Cricetulus griseus: one gene and its partner. The protein of the gene in region 1 binds, or shares a complex with, the protein of each later gene. Links are inferred from orthologs where the notes say so. Each region holds a gene or a part of one and is shown on either strand. Other genes may lie near its edges.

The links.
Region 2: the proteins of Tlr4 (region 1) and Ly96 are in contact, whole or in part, in a crystal structure (PDB 4G8A), measured with the Homo sapiens proteins. The link is inferred for Cricetulus griseus from reciprocal best matches to the Homo sapiens genes TLR4 and LY96. Residues at the interface, in NP_612564.1 of Homo sapiens: Gln39, Met41, Glu42, Asp60, Ser62, Phe63, Asp84, Ser86, Arg87, Thr110, Gly111, Val132, Val134, Glu135, Asn156, His159, Ser183, Ser184, Asp209, Leu212, Arg234, Val259, Glu262, Phe263, Arg264, Asn265, Glu266, Arg289, Ala291, Tyr292; in NP_056179.4 of Homo sapiens: Met40, Tyr42, Ile66, Pro67, Arg68, Arg96, Ser98, Asp99, Asp100, Asp101, Tyr102, Ser103, Phe104, Arg106, Leu108, Lys109, Gly110, Glu111, Thr112, Thr115, Thr116, Ile117.

What each region holds. Positions count from the first base shown.
Region 1 is NC_048595.1:79,142,538-79,149,912, reverse strand, and holds the start of Tlr4 (toll-like receptor 4 precursor), read left to right. Parts: upstream 1-2,800; 5' UTR 2,801-3,049; coding exon 3,050-3,139; intron 3,140-7,375.
Region 2 is NC_048595.1:144,327,629-144,335,049, forward strand, and holds the start of Ly96 (lymphocyte antigen 96 precursor), read right to left. Parts: upstream 4,874-7,421; 5' UTR 4,848-4,873; coding exon 4,736-4,847; intron 1-4,735. UniProt on the Homo sapiens protein: Binds bacterial lipopolysaccharide (LPS). Cooperates with TLR4 in the innate immune response to bacterial lipopolysaccharide (LPS), and with TLR2 in the response to cell wall components from Gram-positive and Gram-negative bacteria.

The DNA of each region.
Region 1 (7,375 bases):
TTAGTACAGTATAAGCAATATTACTTTTAAAACTGCACTTGCGGCATGCAGCAGGTGGCCATGTTGGAGTGGTGGAGGCAGCACAGAGGTGCGTCCTGGGTCCCGGCGGCGGGCTGGTTTGTGGATACCAAGGCAGATCTGCAGTGCCTGATGCCATAAGCATGGTAGTGCACCATGTGGAGGAGAAAGCTGTACACTCCTGGTCACGAATTTCCACAGCAGGGAAGAAAGCCCTGAAAGAGCCACTGCTTGTGTTTAATCCTAGGAGCCAGGATCTCAGTGCCACAGAAGCCCAGCTTGTGGCCTTCCTACAGGGCCTGCGAGATGATGGCTTCCAGGGGACCATTCTGTGAAGTGGTGATGTCTATGGCTTTAGTTCATGCACAGCCACCGCCCCCCAGCCAGACAAAGCTACAAGCTCGTAACACCAACCCATCTGCCACATCTCTTCCATCCAGGGCTCCCCAAAGTGCTGTGTTGCAACCTGCAATCCAGCCACACTGCTCCCGTGCCACTGTTTGGCAGGCTGACTAAGGGGTCCACACCGGCCCTCGCCAAGCATGCTACCACTAACTTGCTGCTGAGCTCTCTGAAGCAATCAAATGCCAGCCACACCAGTGGTACAACAGTAGGCTTCCCTGCCCACCTCTACCCAGGTGTCTACCCTGACATACGACTGTCTGTGGTCCTTGAAGCACTGGTTCCACTCAAGATTCCTTGCTTGGGTATTAAGAACAGGGCACAATCACTGCTGCTGTCACTTGCAAACTCTACCCTGAAACTGAGAAAGGTTCGGGGAACCCACAGTCCAAAGCATCCCAGAAAATAACAAGCAAAGGCATCAAATGCCTGAGTAGGAAAGGCCCTGGGGCTGATCAACAAGGCACTGGGCCCCGGAGCAGTGGCCTACGTGTGAAAGGGTACTCTGCCTTGGGCACCAAAACAGTGCGGGCCAAGGCATCTCGAACACTGACCAAAGCTGCTCATGCCCACGCCAGCCTAACTCGAACCCAGAACAAGTCAGTAAGGGTCAGGGCCAAGACAACAAAGACCAAGCCCAGGGCAACAGGAGCCAAATCCAAGGCCACTGTAGTAAGGGACAAGGCTAAAGCCAAGGTGGTCAAGGACAAGCCAAGGCCAAAGCAGCTCAGACCAAGTACAAGGGAAGGCCAAAAGGATCTGTTCAGAGTAGAACTGGAAGGACAAGCCTGAAAAGTGGCTCTGAGTCTGTGGGGAAGAAGAGGAAGAAGGCTGAGGAGGTAAAGGGTCTTCCTCCTAAGAAGAGAGCACAGTTTGTGCTCCAGTCTTCTAAGGCAAGGCTGCGGCCTAGAGCAAAACCACGAAAGTCCCAGACTATAATGGAGCACAGAAAATTCTCAGAAGATGAGGTTCTACAGTGGGCCCAGCAGATCCTCCGTGTGAACCTCTCTCCAGTAGTATGGCTCCAGCCATTGCTACCATCTTGATTCCATACTCAGCATCCTGAGTCATCCTTGGCAGCAGTGCTTGGGAAAACAGTTGGGCTGTCCATGTGACCAGTATCACAGTGTGCTATGCTCGTGGACTCTGCAGCTTTCCAGACTCTGGGTACCTCCAGGACCCCTGTGGTCACCATCCTCTTTTCAGAAGCTGAGGATTTGGGGTTGGGTGGGTAGCGGTCTGGGTGTTCTCATGGCTCAATATACTGTGACTTGTTCTTCTAGTTGTACATCCAATGTTCCATCTATCATGTTTTATATCTTTCCACAAAAAAAAAAGAAGCAGGGGGCCGGGCATTGGTGGCACACACCTTTAATCCCAGCACTCAGGAAGCAGAGACAGGTGGATCTCTGTGAGTTAGAGGCCAGCCTGGTCTCTAGAGCGAGTGCCAGGATAGGCTCCAAAGCTACACAGAGAAACCCTGCCTCGAAAAACAAAACAAAACAAAAAGAAGCAGGGCCTGGGGAGACATGTCAGTAAAGTGTTTTATGTGCCAGAAGACCTGCAGACTGCTAGCACCCTCATAAAAACTGGATGCTTTGCATGTACCTCTAACTCCTGCACTGAGGTAGGGGCAGAGAAGACTAGATCTCAGGAACTCACTGGCCACTCAGTCTAGTCAATGAATGAGCAGTCAATTAGAGACCCTGGCTCCAAAATTGCAGTGGGGTCTTCTGAGTTTTACCCTCAGCTCACTAGCCAACTCTTATTCTTGGGAATGCATTCCCCTTTGTAATAAACTGTGTCTGTTCCTTTCTCTAACAGTAATAATAATAGTTATAATTAATAATTAATAGTAGCAGAAGAATGGAGACAAACAAGGAAGTCATCCAACAGTGAACTCTGGTACACACACACACACACACACACACACACACACACACACACTTGCAAGTGTACACAGAGAGTACACACACATGAAGTATTCATCCCCCCCATGAATAAGCAGGTACACATACACAGGTGCGTACACATATACCCAACCAAGAAAAGATCAGGACACAGACACACCCCACAACATCATTTTTCTGGCTTCCACCCTTCAGAATTGTGAGAAAATAAGTTTCTGTAGTTTGTAACACCCAGTGCAGTACTGTGCCGTCAGATACCTAGAAGTCTAGCTTGACCACTAGTGAAAACAAAACAGGAATGTGGACGTTGCTCCAGGCACATATACTGGCTTCATGAGTATCTGGTTACTTTCTGCGTTCCCCAAGCCCAGAGGTCAGATGACTTCCTGGGATGAAAGCCAGCTTCCTCTTGCTGTTCCTCCACAGGCTGGTCGGCAAACGCCTTCTTCCTGTTCTTTCCTTAGTCTTCTATCTAGCCTCCTGAGATAGGGTAGATACATTCTAGAGAAAGAAAGAAAAAAAAAAAAAAGTGAGAATGCTAAGGTTGCCACTCTCACTTCCTCTCACCCTTAGCCCAGAACATTTTTTAATATAGTTCTTTCAGAGGGGCACCCGCCCAGAGAGAAGAGGCCGGTGCCCCAGGGACTCTGCCTTGCCAACGGCTACAGTTAGTTCATCATGCTTTCTCACGGCCTCGGCTGGTTGCAGAAAATGCCAGGATGATGCCTTCTTTCTGCCTGGCTGGGACACTGATGATGGCATTGTTCCTCTCCTCCCTGAGACCTGAAAGCTTGGATCCCTGTGTGGAGGTATGTGTCTCGACCAGCTCCTTTCCTGTTAGCCTCCCTTGTTTCTCAAAACTCTCCCTATGTCGGAGCTTCCTGCTGTGTGTTCTGATTTGTTTATTTTGCACACAGGAGTTAAACTAACCAAAAACTTGAGAAGCTGTGAGGACAAAGAGACTCTGTGTTAGCAGGGCAGCAACAGGCAGCCAGTCAGTGTCTTGTTCTGTTTAGACTTCCGAGCCATGATTATTAAAGACTTGAAATTAGTAAAACTAAGGATATTGTTTCTGTGACTTGGCTGAGTGACAGCCAAGAAGTTACTGAACCTTTCTGAGGCCAGTTTTCACACTGTAAAAGAATTACAGTGCTCACAGGGGGATTGGAGAAGGCTAGTAATAGCAGGCCTTTCTGTTGGTACTGTGGACACTCAGCTTTCAGAAGTCATTCCTTTCCTTTCCTACTCAGGTAAAGGTGGCTGTCATTTCTGTCTCTTAAGTAGCATCTGTGTATGATGGAGTGGTCGATCAGCAGGTTCAGTCAGTTGCTGACAAGCCTGACTACCTGAGTCAATCTTCAAGCCCCACATGGTGGAAGCAGAGAATCTACTTCATTCTCTGAGTTCCAAGTGTCTGCCCTGACAGTTGTGTGCATGCATGAAAGTGGACACACACACACACACACACACACACACACACACACGCACGCACGCACGCACGCACGCACGCACGCACGCACGCGCACACACACACATGTTAATAACTGTAATTTTTTTCCAAATGAAAGAATTTTCTGAGAATTTTAAATTCTACCACTAATTTTAGAAAATAATGAAATGGGAGGGAGGGAAGGGGAAAGACAAACGGGAGGAAGATAAAGACAGAGAGACAGAGAATGAGATAGACAGAGACAACAGAAAGAGGCAGAGAACAATGTAAAACATCAGCTAAGGCAGTAATTCCCTTCTTGGTGAAACAATGACTAGTGAGTAATATGATTCATGACTAATTCTTATTTTCTCACTGCACAGACCACACAATTATCTCAGAAGCTCACAATAGAGCTGAACAAACAGGGAAATAATTTAGGGCGAGGCAGGCTCAGAAGCTCAAGACAGGTATTACAAGTTGGAGTCACGGTGTTGACCTGGAAAAAATATTATAGCATAACAAAGACTAACTCCTTGCTATCTCGGTATCTTGTCTTCTGATTCCTTAGTTATGCTGACAGAGATAGAGTTTCCAATCAGTTTCATACTGAGAAAAAATCCTGTGGTATATACTGTACTCTGGAAACCCCCATAGTCAGCCTGTTTCTTCCATAAGCTCATGTCTCAGTTCCATGGGCCTTGTCTCCAGGGATTATGACTGGTTCCCTAATTTGCTGTCCTTTCTGTAACCACACTTTCATCTCTATTTGTTTTCACCGGGCCAGAGGACTGGATTTATCAAATTACTCCTTTACCATTTTTAATAACTCTTTAGTGCCTCCAAGGCTGTTTTTCCTACAGAGTAGTTTCACTGCTTGTCCTACCCACACAACCCCTCCCCTAGATCAGAGCTGTCTTATGATAAAATTTTGGGATCTGCTTATATAGTTTAAAATGTTCCTGGTGGTCAAACTGAAAAAAAATGAGTGAAGTTATTTTTAGTGATATATATTATATAATCAAATATAGTCCAACTATTAAGAAGATAGTTTATGTTCCATTTTTGCTACAGAATATTAGAAAGTCAGCAATATTTTATGTTTACTACAAAATTTGATTTATACTACACACATGGTTCATGTTCAACAGTTGTCTGTGACATATAGCCACAGACAGAATGTAGGACTTTGATTTCAGGATTTAATGTTTCACTTTCACTTTATGTAGATCTCTGTAAAAGGGTCTCCCCAGGGTGTTTTTTCTTGATTCCCAGATGGAGATATCTGCCTTTGGCCTCTTTGTGTGTGTTTTCATTGATCATATCATATCATATTTTTGTCTGTTTTTAATTAGTTATCCTTCCTTTTCTGCTGGGTTTATCAATATGCCACCAGTGTCTAGATCATAGTAGGTCTTTAGTTTGTATGCAAATGAAAGAATGACTGCTGGACAATGTCTGATGCTCTTGTGTTCAGGTTGTAGCTACCCATAACTTAAGGCTCTCCTCCCTTGCCTGTTGCTAGCCAATTCATCTGAATTTGTTCCTACCCTTTACTTGCTTATGTTCTTTTCTTCTTATGATTTACATTTCTTCCCTTTTCCACATGTCAGATACTGCTCACCTTCCATGTTCTGGGTCTACAATCAGTCTCTATTACCTGTGAACCAGGCTTGCTTTGTAGGTTTTAGTCCCTTTCCTTCTCTTCTAACTGATGTTGAGTTCGATGACAACTGGAATTGTACAGCATTTATTTTTGTACTGCTCATGGCCCTTAGCAGAAAAAGCCTACCATTTGGTTTACATGGACCTCTGTTCACCAGGTATAGAATTTTCTATCATTCACTCATGCAACAAATAGCTAATGGGCATTGACAGGTCACCTTGCAACTTTCTGAGCCTTGGAGACAATGTACCAAACAAAATCATCAGAGCATCAAAGCTCATAATCCAGTTCATCAAATGAACGACATTTGGAAAATAATTATATAAGCAACACAAAGTTGCTCTGTGATTGAAACCTATGAAGGAAATAAAAGAGGGCAAGTGAAGAATTTCTTCCTGACACCTTATTCTATTAGAAGCACTCTCTTTAAGGATACTATGGTAAGTATCGTGTAAGCAGACAAATGTGAACATACATGGATAAATCCTTTATGTGCATTACCCCATCTTCTCATTTTTCCATCTTTAAAAGATGTTTTGAAGATTAACATAAAATACATAACATGTAAGTAAATTGTTGATATACAGCAAGGGATTAATAATAGCCAATGATAATTAACATTAATATTCATCACTTTAATTATAGCAAGCTTTGAGATAAGATCTGATCTCATTTAATCCTTTGAGAATTCTATTTCTTTTAAATAAGAGAAAGCAAAACTCACTGGGTTAAACAAAGAATTTTCTGGAAGAAATCATGTAATTATGAAATTAATTGGAAGGTTATGGAATAGGGTTTACAGTAAATATGAGAAAATAGATAAAACTAAGTGGGGACTATAACAGCACAAAACACTTGGCCTTGATCAATGGATTCCATGTACTCTAAGACTTCCTCTCATTCCTACACCAAGTTGCTAAAGTCAATAAGCCAAGAAAGAAAATGTAATTGTCTAAAATAGGTGGTATCTAAAAAATATCTGGATGTCTTCATTGGTACTCTCCATGTGTCTGTATATAATTAGGATATGTAATTAGAATGATAGTAATTTTACATAAAACTATGTATTTACAAAATATGTGTATTTTACATAAAACTAATTAAATTAGCTGAAGGTATTATAAAACAAACATTGTCTCATTCTCAACATTCATTAGTTTGTAGAGAGTTGAGGACTCCTGAGCTTTTTACTCTATCCATGGTAGCATGTCTTGTTGTCATGTTTAGGAAGTCATGTTAATGAGGCTTCTTTTTTTCCTTTTTAAAATTTAAATTAGAAACAATCTTGTTACATGTCAATCACAGTTCTATCTCCCTCCCCTCCTCCCCTTCCCCACAGCAACTCCCTATCCCATCCACTTTCTGCTCCTCAGGGAGGGTGAGGCCTTCCATGAGGGATTATCAAAGTCTGTCTTTATGAGTGTAGTTTCTGACATTATTAGGAGACACAATATCACAATAAACTTGTTCCCTTGGATATTATATTATATTATATTATATTCTTTCATTGCCCCGTTTTACAATGACCTCTGAGCTTTAGATGCAAGTGTTTTATTGTTAATGTATCCCTTGGAACTGGGATGCAGAATTATGCATTTTGATTGGTTTTGGTTTTCTGTAATGGTCTGTTGTATGGGAAAGAATCTTGCTGGGGAAGAGAATACTAATTGGTTACCAAATATGAAATGGTCATCCCTGAAAAGATATATATGTAATATTATACAAATTGATCAGGCTGTACTTATGTAATTATGGTATATATATATATATATATATATATATATATATATATATATATGCATGTAACAAAAACTAATGAATAAAAAGAGGAAATGGATTTGAAAGAGATCAAAGAAAGGGGTGAGGGAGGACTTCAAGGGAGGAAGGGAAATGATATAATTATAATCTCAAGAATAAATAAATAAAATGGTTAAAAAAAAGTTTCTTTGC
Region 2 (7,421 bases), about 65 Mb from region 1:
CCTGGTTCTCCCCTCTACTCAGCATGTGTGAAGACAGAAACTCCAAGCTCTCAGCTTTTCCATCGTTAGAGAGAATTGATACAGTCTTCTAGCACCTCCAGTCCTCCAGAGATCCAAAAATAATTAATACCCATCTCACTAATCCCGGAATTTTGATGAGTGTGGGTGACACTGAAGGGAACATGCAAAAAAAAAAAAAGCACTTCGACCTAAGAACCATTTTGACTTCAGACTCCATTTACCTGTAGGATGAAACACAGTTCAAGTTCCCAAGCCCTAGGGGAGATGAGAACTTTCCATTGACTGACAAACCTCCTGCCTAAACCATAGAAACAGTCAGTTATGCCCCTTAGTTCTTACTGTGGCTGCTCCCAACAAGAGAAAGAACAAATGAATCTGATTGGATGGACGGAAGAGCTCCCATTTTGTATAGGTTGACAAAGATGGACCACACAAGGAAAAGTCCCTAATCTTTGACTTCTGATTGGTGAAAATTATAACTGTAACTTGGCAACAAATGTTTGTGATTTTTGTGCTTATAAACCCCTCTTCTAGAAGCAGACACCCACAACTAATCACTGAACTGAACTGGAATCCAGTTGCAGAGAAGGACAAGTGATGAGCAAAGGGGTCCAGACCAGGCTAGTGAAACCCACAGAAACAGTTGACCTGAACATCAGGGAGCTCTTGGTTCCCAGACTGATAGCTGGAATACCAGCATGGGACTGATCCAGACCCCAGGAACATGGGTTTCAGTGAGGAAACCTCGGAAATCTACAGGACCTCCTGTAGTAGTTCAGTACTTATCCCTAGCATAGGTGTGGACTTTGGGAGCCCATTCCACATAGAGGAATACTCCCTGAGCCAAGACACACAGGGGTGGGCCTAGGCCCTATCCCAAAGGATACAATAGACACTGATGACACCCTATAGAAGGCCTCACCCTCCAGGGGGAGAAGAAAGGATATATATATAATAGGTAGGGTTTTATTTGGGGGAGGGGTGGTAGGGGGAGGGGAGGGAGAGGGAACTGGGATTAACATGTAAAATAATCTTGTTTCTAATTCAAAAAAAAGAAAGAAAGAAAGAAAGAAAGAAAGAAAGAAAGAAAGAAACCCTCTTCTGCCCCTGTTCAGGGCCGCCAGAAGCAAAGCTCCCTAGTCCAAGTCCAAATCAGTAACCCACTTATGTGTTGTCTCTTTTCTTCCTTGTGGCACACAGTGGACTGGATGTAACAATATCACCTATCTACCTGGGGTAGAAGATGTTGCTAGAATTAGTGGATGCCTGTCCAAAATAAATTCAAGTTGGGTGAGGGATGTAGCTCAATGTTAGAATGCATGCCTAGCTATGCACAATTCAGGCCCCATTAAACAAATAAATCTATGAAAAACAAATAAATAAATTCAAGTGAGTCAGCCAGACTCTTGAGGGCAATCTATTTATTTATTTATTTATTCATTCATTCGTTCATTCATTCATTCATTCATTTTTGTTTTGTGGCAGGATCTTACTCTCTAGCTTAGAACTCACTATGTAGATCAAGCTGGCCTCAATATTGCAACAATCTTCCTGCCTTGACCTCAGGAATGCTAGAATTAGAAACATGAAACACCATGCCCAGTCCAAGTAGAATTTTTTTGTGGGCCTTAAAAGGTTGCCATATAAGCCAGATGTGGTGGCATATACTTTACTCTTAGCACTCCAGAGCCTGAGCTGGAAGAATCTCCATGAATTTTATGGCTATTCTGGGCTAACCCATACTACACAGTGAGTTCTAGGTCATCTTGGGTTACAGTGAAACCCTGCTTCAAAAAGAACAAACAACAAAATGTTCCATTTCTTAATGCTATTATGGCAAATAGATTTGACATGTGTTTGGAAGAGCATATGAATTCAAAAACCACCTCTTCAGCAAGCCACGAAGAATTCAAATGTGCCAAAATCTTGATTTTGAATTCCAGATCAGTCCAAAATAACTTTTTCTTATTTAAGTTCCCTAAACTATAGTGATTTGTGTTTTTGTTTGTTTGTTTTGTTGGTTGGTTGGTTTGAGTTTGTTTTGTTGTTGTTGGTAGTTTTTTGTTTGTTTGTTGTTGTTGTTTTAGTTTTTGGTTTTTCCAGACTGGGTTTCTCTGTATAGCCCCAGCTGTCCTGGAGCTTACTCTGCAGACCAGACTGGGCTTGAACTCAAGGAGATCCACCTGCCTCTGCCTCACCAGTGCTGGGACTAAAGGCATGCACTACCACACTTGGTATGGTGTTTGTTAGGCAAGCCAAAATAACTAAGCCTACCCAGATAAAAAAAAAAAATTACCTCTCTTCTTTCTTGAAAATTGTCCTCAAAGTCAGGACTGAATCAGCTGTCACTGTCACTAACACTTACCTACCGACTTTAAAGGAATTAATGTGTTCCAAAGGGAGGTGTTTTTGTCTTAGTGAACTCTCCCAGGCAAGGGAGTGCTAACACTCTGGAATGGCAGCCTGCAGGGCCATCGAATAGAGACCCTCGTTGCTATCCTCCAGCCTCATGTTGGGGGGCTTCAGGGAATGTCCACAGGACTTGTTGGTGTCACAGAGCAAAGGGGCAGATTCTACCTCAGAAAGTCTCATCAAAAGACTAAGGAAGCCAGGTGTGTGCCAGGTGTGGTAGCCCGTGCCTTCAGTTCCAAAAGGCAGAATCACACAGGTCTCTTAGTTTGAGACCAGCCTAGTCTACATACCAAGTTCCAGAACAGCTAGTGCTATACAGAGACTCTATATCAAAAAACAACCAAACACACAAAGACAAAGGGAGCTAAATTGCTACTAAAAGAGTAATGCTGAATAATTTTTATTATACATTATTAATAGGCATAAGAGTCACAATGTAGTACCTACCAAAAGAAGTAGTGTAGGGACTGCACAGGTGGCTCAGTAAATAAGAGCAGGCCCAGGCTCAATTCCCAGAACCTATATCAGTCAGCTCAAAGTAGCCTGTAACTCCAATTCCAGGGAGTTTGGTGGCCTCTTCTGACTTCTGGGGGCACCAGCCTGAACATGGTACACATATATAACCAGAACACACACACACACACACACACACACACACACACACACACACACACACCATCCTGCACATGCTGTACATATATACCTAGAACACACACACACACACACACACACACCATCCTGCACATGCTGTACATATATACCTAGAACACACACACACACACACACACACACACACACACACATATCACTAAAATAAGTAAATTGACAAAATGGGGGGCCAAAAAGAAAGAAAACAGAGGCTAGCAGACTGAACTTCCTAATGCTCTAGAAGCATAAATGTTAACTGTGGTCAAAGTGCTTCACAAGCACATCCCCCAAAATAACCAAGCTGGAGACACTGATTAGGCGGGCTTCTTTACCATGGAAGGAAGCCCGCAGTACTGCAGGAGTTGTCACGGTGCATCTATGAAGTCCCTTCTGCATTTCCAGACGATTAGGTTGAAGATCCTGCTTTCCAAAGAACTGGCATTTCGGAAGGAATCGACTTCCAACCATCCAGATATTTCCAGGCAGGACAAAAAATGGACAACCAACCAAGCAATCAACGAAAGAGAAAATAAACTGAAACTATCAAGCCCCCAGTGCTAGGTCTTCAGATCCCAGGCATTTGCTAGTGAGAAGTTGTGCGGTGACAATTACGTTAATTATGAACCAACAGCATATAAGTTTATCTCAACTGAAAAATATTTGCAGTTCCAGCACTGGGGAGGTTGAGGCAACAGGGAGCCTGAATTTGAGGGCAGCATAGTGAGTTCCAGGCAAAAATACGCAAATAATTCAAGAGGCAGAGGCAGGGGTATCTCTTTCGTTCCAGACTAGTCTGGTCTATCTAGCAATTTCTAGGCCAGCCCAGGGCTATATACTGATAACCTGTCTAAAATAGAATATTCAGGATGTGGTGATGCATGCCTTTAATCCCTGGATGTATAGGCAGGCAGATTTCTGTGATTTCTAAGATAGCCTGGTTCCAGAACAACCACGGCTACATAGTGAGACCCTGTCTCAAAACAAATTATAGGGTAATAATAATTACTGCATAAATCCATAATCAGCGTTACTTTTTCTAAGTGACTCTGTGGTAAAATTCTTAACTCTAGCAAGCCTCATAAAGTGAACTCTAAAATCACTTTCATTTTGCAACTAAAAAAAAAAAAAATGAGGCAGAGAATGTCTAAGTACTTTGCTCAAGTCCTACAATCGGTGGAGAGACCAGGTTAACATCCCAAGAATAGAGATGCTTGCACGCACTAGCCCTAGAGGACCACAGGCTGGAGCGGAAACCCCCACCAGGAAGCAGCTATGGGTCTGCTTTCTCAGAAGGAACCAGTTTGTGTCGGGGCTGGGACTCAAAAGCAAACAGTTCTGCTGGAATTGAGAGCTTGAAACTGTGCTCGGAGTGGAGGGGACTGACCATTGCAGCAACAGAAGCACACGGAGGTAAAAACAAACGGTTCGGAGATCTGTAAGTGGGCAGTGAGTGGAAGAAGACCCACACCCGGAAGTGGTCGGCCTGCTCCGCCCCTACCCCATCCCATCCCCCATCCCCATCCCCACCCCAGACCTCAGCAGCCCGCACAGCTGGAGCCACAGAGACATTTTCGCCTGCCCTCAGCTTCGGGTTCTGTGAAAACTTTCTCTGAAAATAGTTGGCGCTGCAGTTATTTGTTGCCTTGTCACTTACCACAGTAACTGTAGGAAAAAGTTGCATCGGAGGAGTTGCAGAACCACAGTTGCTGTTCAGATTCAGTAAATATGAGAGGAAGCAGCGTGGAAAAGAGAATAAATGGCAACATGATTTAATATCTCCAACACTTTCCACACTCAGGGAAGATCATCAGACTCGACAGTGAGGAAGAAGGAACAAACTTAGTCACCAGTCATGTGATTTCAAAGTTCCCATCCAACTGTTTCCTCTTTTTATTTGTGTGACTGTGCATTTGTTTTCGTTATCTGTGCACCTTCTGCTGCAAGGCAAGAGAAAGAAAATGACCTAGAATATACTGTTTCTGAACACTTAATGTAAATTAAAGTAATTGGCATTTTATTTACTTATTTAATCATTAGCACACAGGAAGTTTTCAGTGAGACGAAATGTCCTACAGGAGACCCTTTCTTAAAGTAAACTCAGCTGGGCATATTGGCGAAACACCTTTAAACCTAGCACTTGGGAGGCAAGGGCAGGTGGATCTCTGTCAGTTCGAGGCTAGCCTGATCTACAGAGTGAGTTCCAGAACAGCCAGGGCTATATCTTGAGACCCTGTCTCGAGAAAGAAAGAAGATCCACCATGGGTCTCACTACTACTCTGTGTGCATGACATTCTCTCCTGCAAGCTCATACAGTGGTTTCTCCTGGCCTGGAAAGATGCATCTAGCTATGTGAGCTGATCTCTTGAAAACTATTTCTACACAACAACAAAAAGGTTCAACCACAAAATAGAAAGGTGGATGATACCCCCACACTGGGGATATCAGCTGCAGTTCCCAGCTGGGACCTCACCAGTCTTGAGAAGATACTCAAAAGGAAGTTGAGCTTGAGGCTGTGGTGTTGAGTTGGGGTGGACTGAATTGGGATTGGTGCTGTGTATGCTAATATGTGCCCTAAGGGAGTCCTAAGTCCTCTTCTGAACATGGGAACTGCACTCCTCTGTGCAAATGCACACACACACAGACACATATACACATATTTTTAGAAAGTTTTCTGGGTAGTGGAAGTGCACACATTTAATTGGGAGGCAGAGGTAGGCAGATCTCTGTGAAATTGAGGTCATCCTAGTCTACAGAGTGGGTTCCAGGACAACAAAGGCTACACAGAGAAACCCTGTCCTGAAAAATCATAAATAAATAAATAAATAAATGGATAGATAGATAGATAGATAGATAGATAGATAGACAGATAGGTTGATAAATAAATAATGGGTGCTGGAGACATGTTTCAGCTATAAAGAGTATTGGCTCTTGCTGAAGACCAGGGCTCAATTTCCAGCAACTACATAAAGGCTCACAACCATCTGTAACACCATTATCAGGGTATCCAATGTCCTCCAATGTCCTCTGCTGGCCTCGATGGGTACCAGACACACACAAGGCCAACAGTCACACATGCACACAAAACACCCATGCACATAAAATAAATACGTATTTTTAAATATAACATAATAAAAAATCTTTTTCAAAAAAAACAAAACAAAACAAACTATATCAGGTCAGGCATGGCAAAAGAGCTACAGGATGTTCTACTTGGGAGACAGAGGCAGGAGGATCAGGAGTTCAATGTTAGTCTCAATTACAGAGTGAATTCAAAGCTAACCTGGGGTACATGAGACCAGAATTCAAATAAATAAACTAATAAATAAATCATAAAAACTAGGCCATACTCCATAAAATCAGAAAACTTAAGGAGATGGACAATTTTCTAGATAAGTACCACATACCAAAATTAAATCAAGAACAGATAAAAAACTCAAATACACCTATAACCCATAAGAAAATAGAAACAGTTATCAATAGTCTCCCAACCAAAAAAATGCCCAGGCCCAGATGGTTTCAGCACAGAATTCTATCAGATGTTCAAAGAAGAACTAATATCAACACTCTTCAAATTATTCCACACAATAGAAACAGAAGGAACATTGCCAAACTCTTGTTTGTTTGTTTGTTTGTTTGTTTTTTGGTTTTTTGTTTTTGTTTTGTTTTCCGAGACGGTGACAAGAACTTCCCAGCACAATTCTTCACAGACTTTGAAAGAACAATACTCAATTTTAGATGGAAAAACAAAAAAAACATAGGAAAGCTAAAACAACCCTATACAATAAAGGATCATCTGGGGGCATCACCATCCCTGACTTCAAGCTCTACTATAGAGCTATAGTAATGAAATAGTTTGGTATTAGCATAAAAACAGACAGGTGGACCAATGAAATCAAATTGAAGACCCTGATATCAACCCACACACTTATGAACACCTAATTTTTGACAAAGAAGCTAAAAATATAAAATAGAAAAGAGAAAGAAAGTATCTTCACCAAATGGTGCTGGTATAATTGGCTGTCAATAAGTAGAAGAATGCAAATAGATCCATATCTCTCACCATGCACAAAACTCAAATCAAAATATCAAAGACCTCAATATAAATCCATCCACACTGAACCTCATAGAAGAGAAAGTGGGAAATATCCTTGAACTCATAGGCACAGGAGACCACTTCCTAAATAGATCACCAGTAGCACAGATATTGAGAGCAACAGTTAATAAATGGGACCTCCTGAAACTGAGAAGTTTCTCTAAAACAAAGACCATGGTCAACAGGAGAAAATGGCTCCCTACAAAATGGGAAAAAAATCTTCACTAACCCCACATCTGACAGAGGG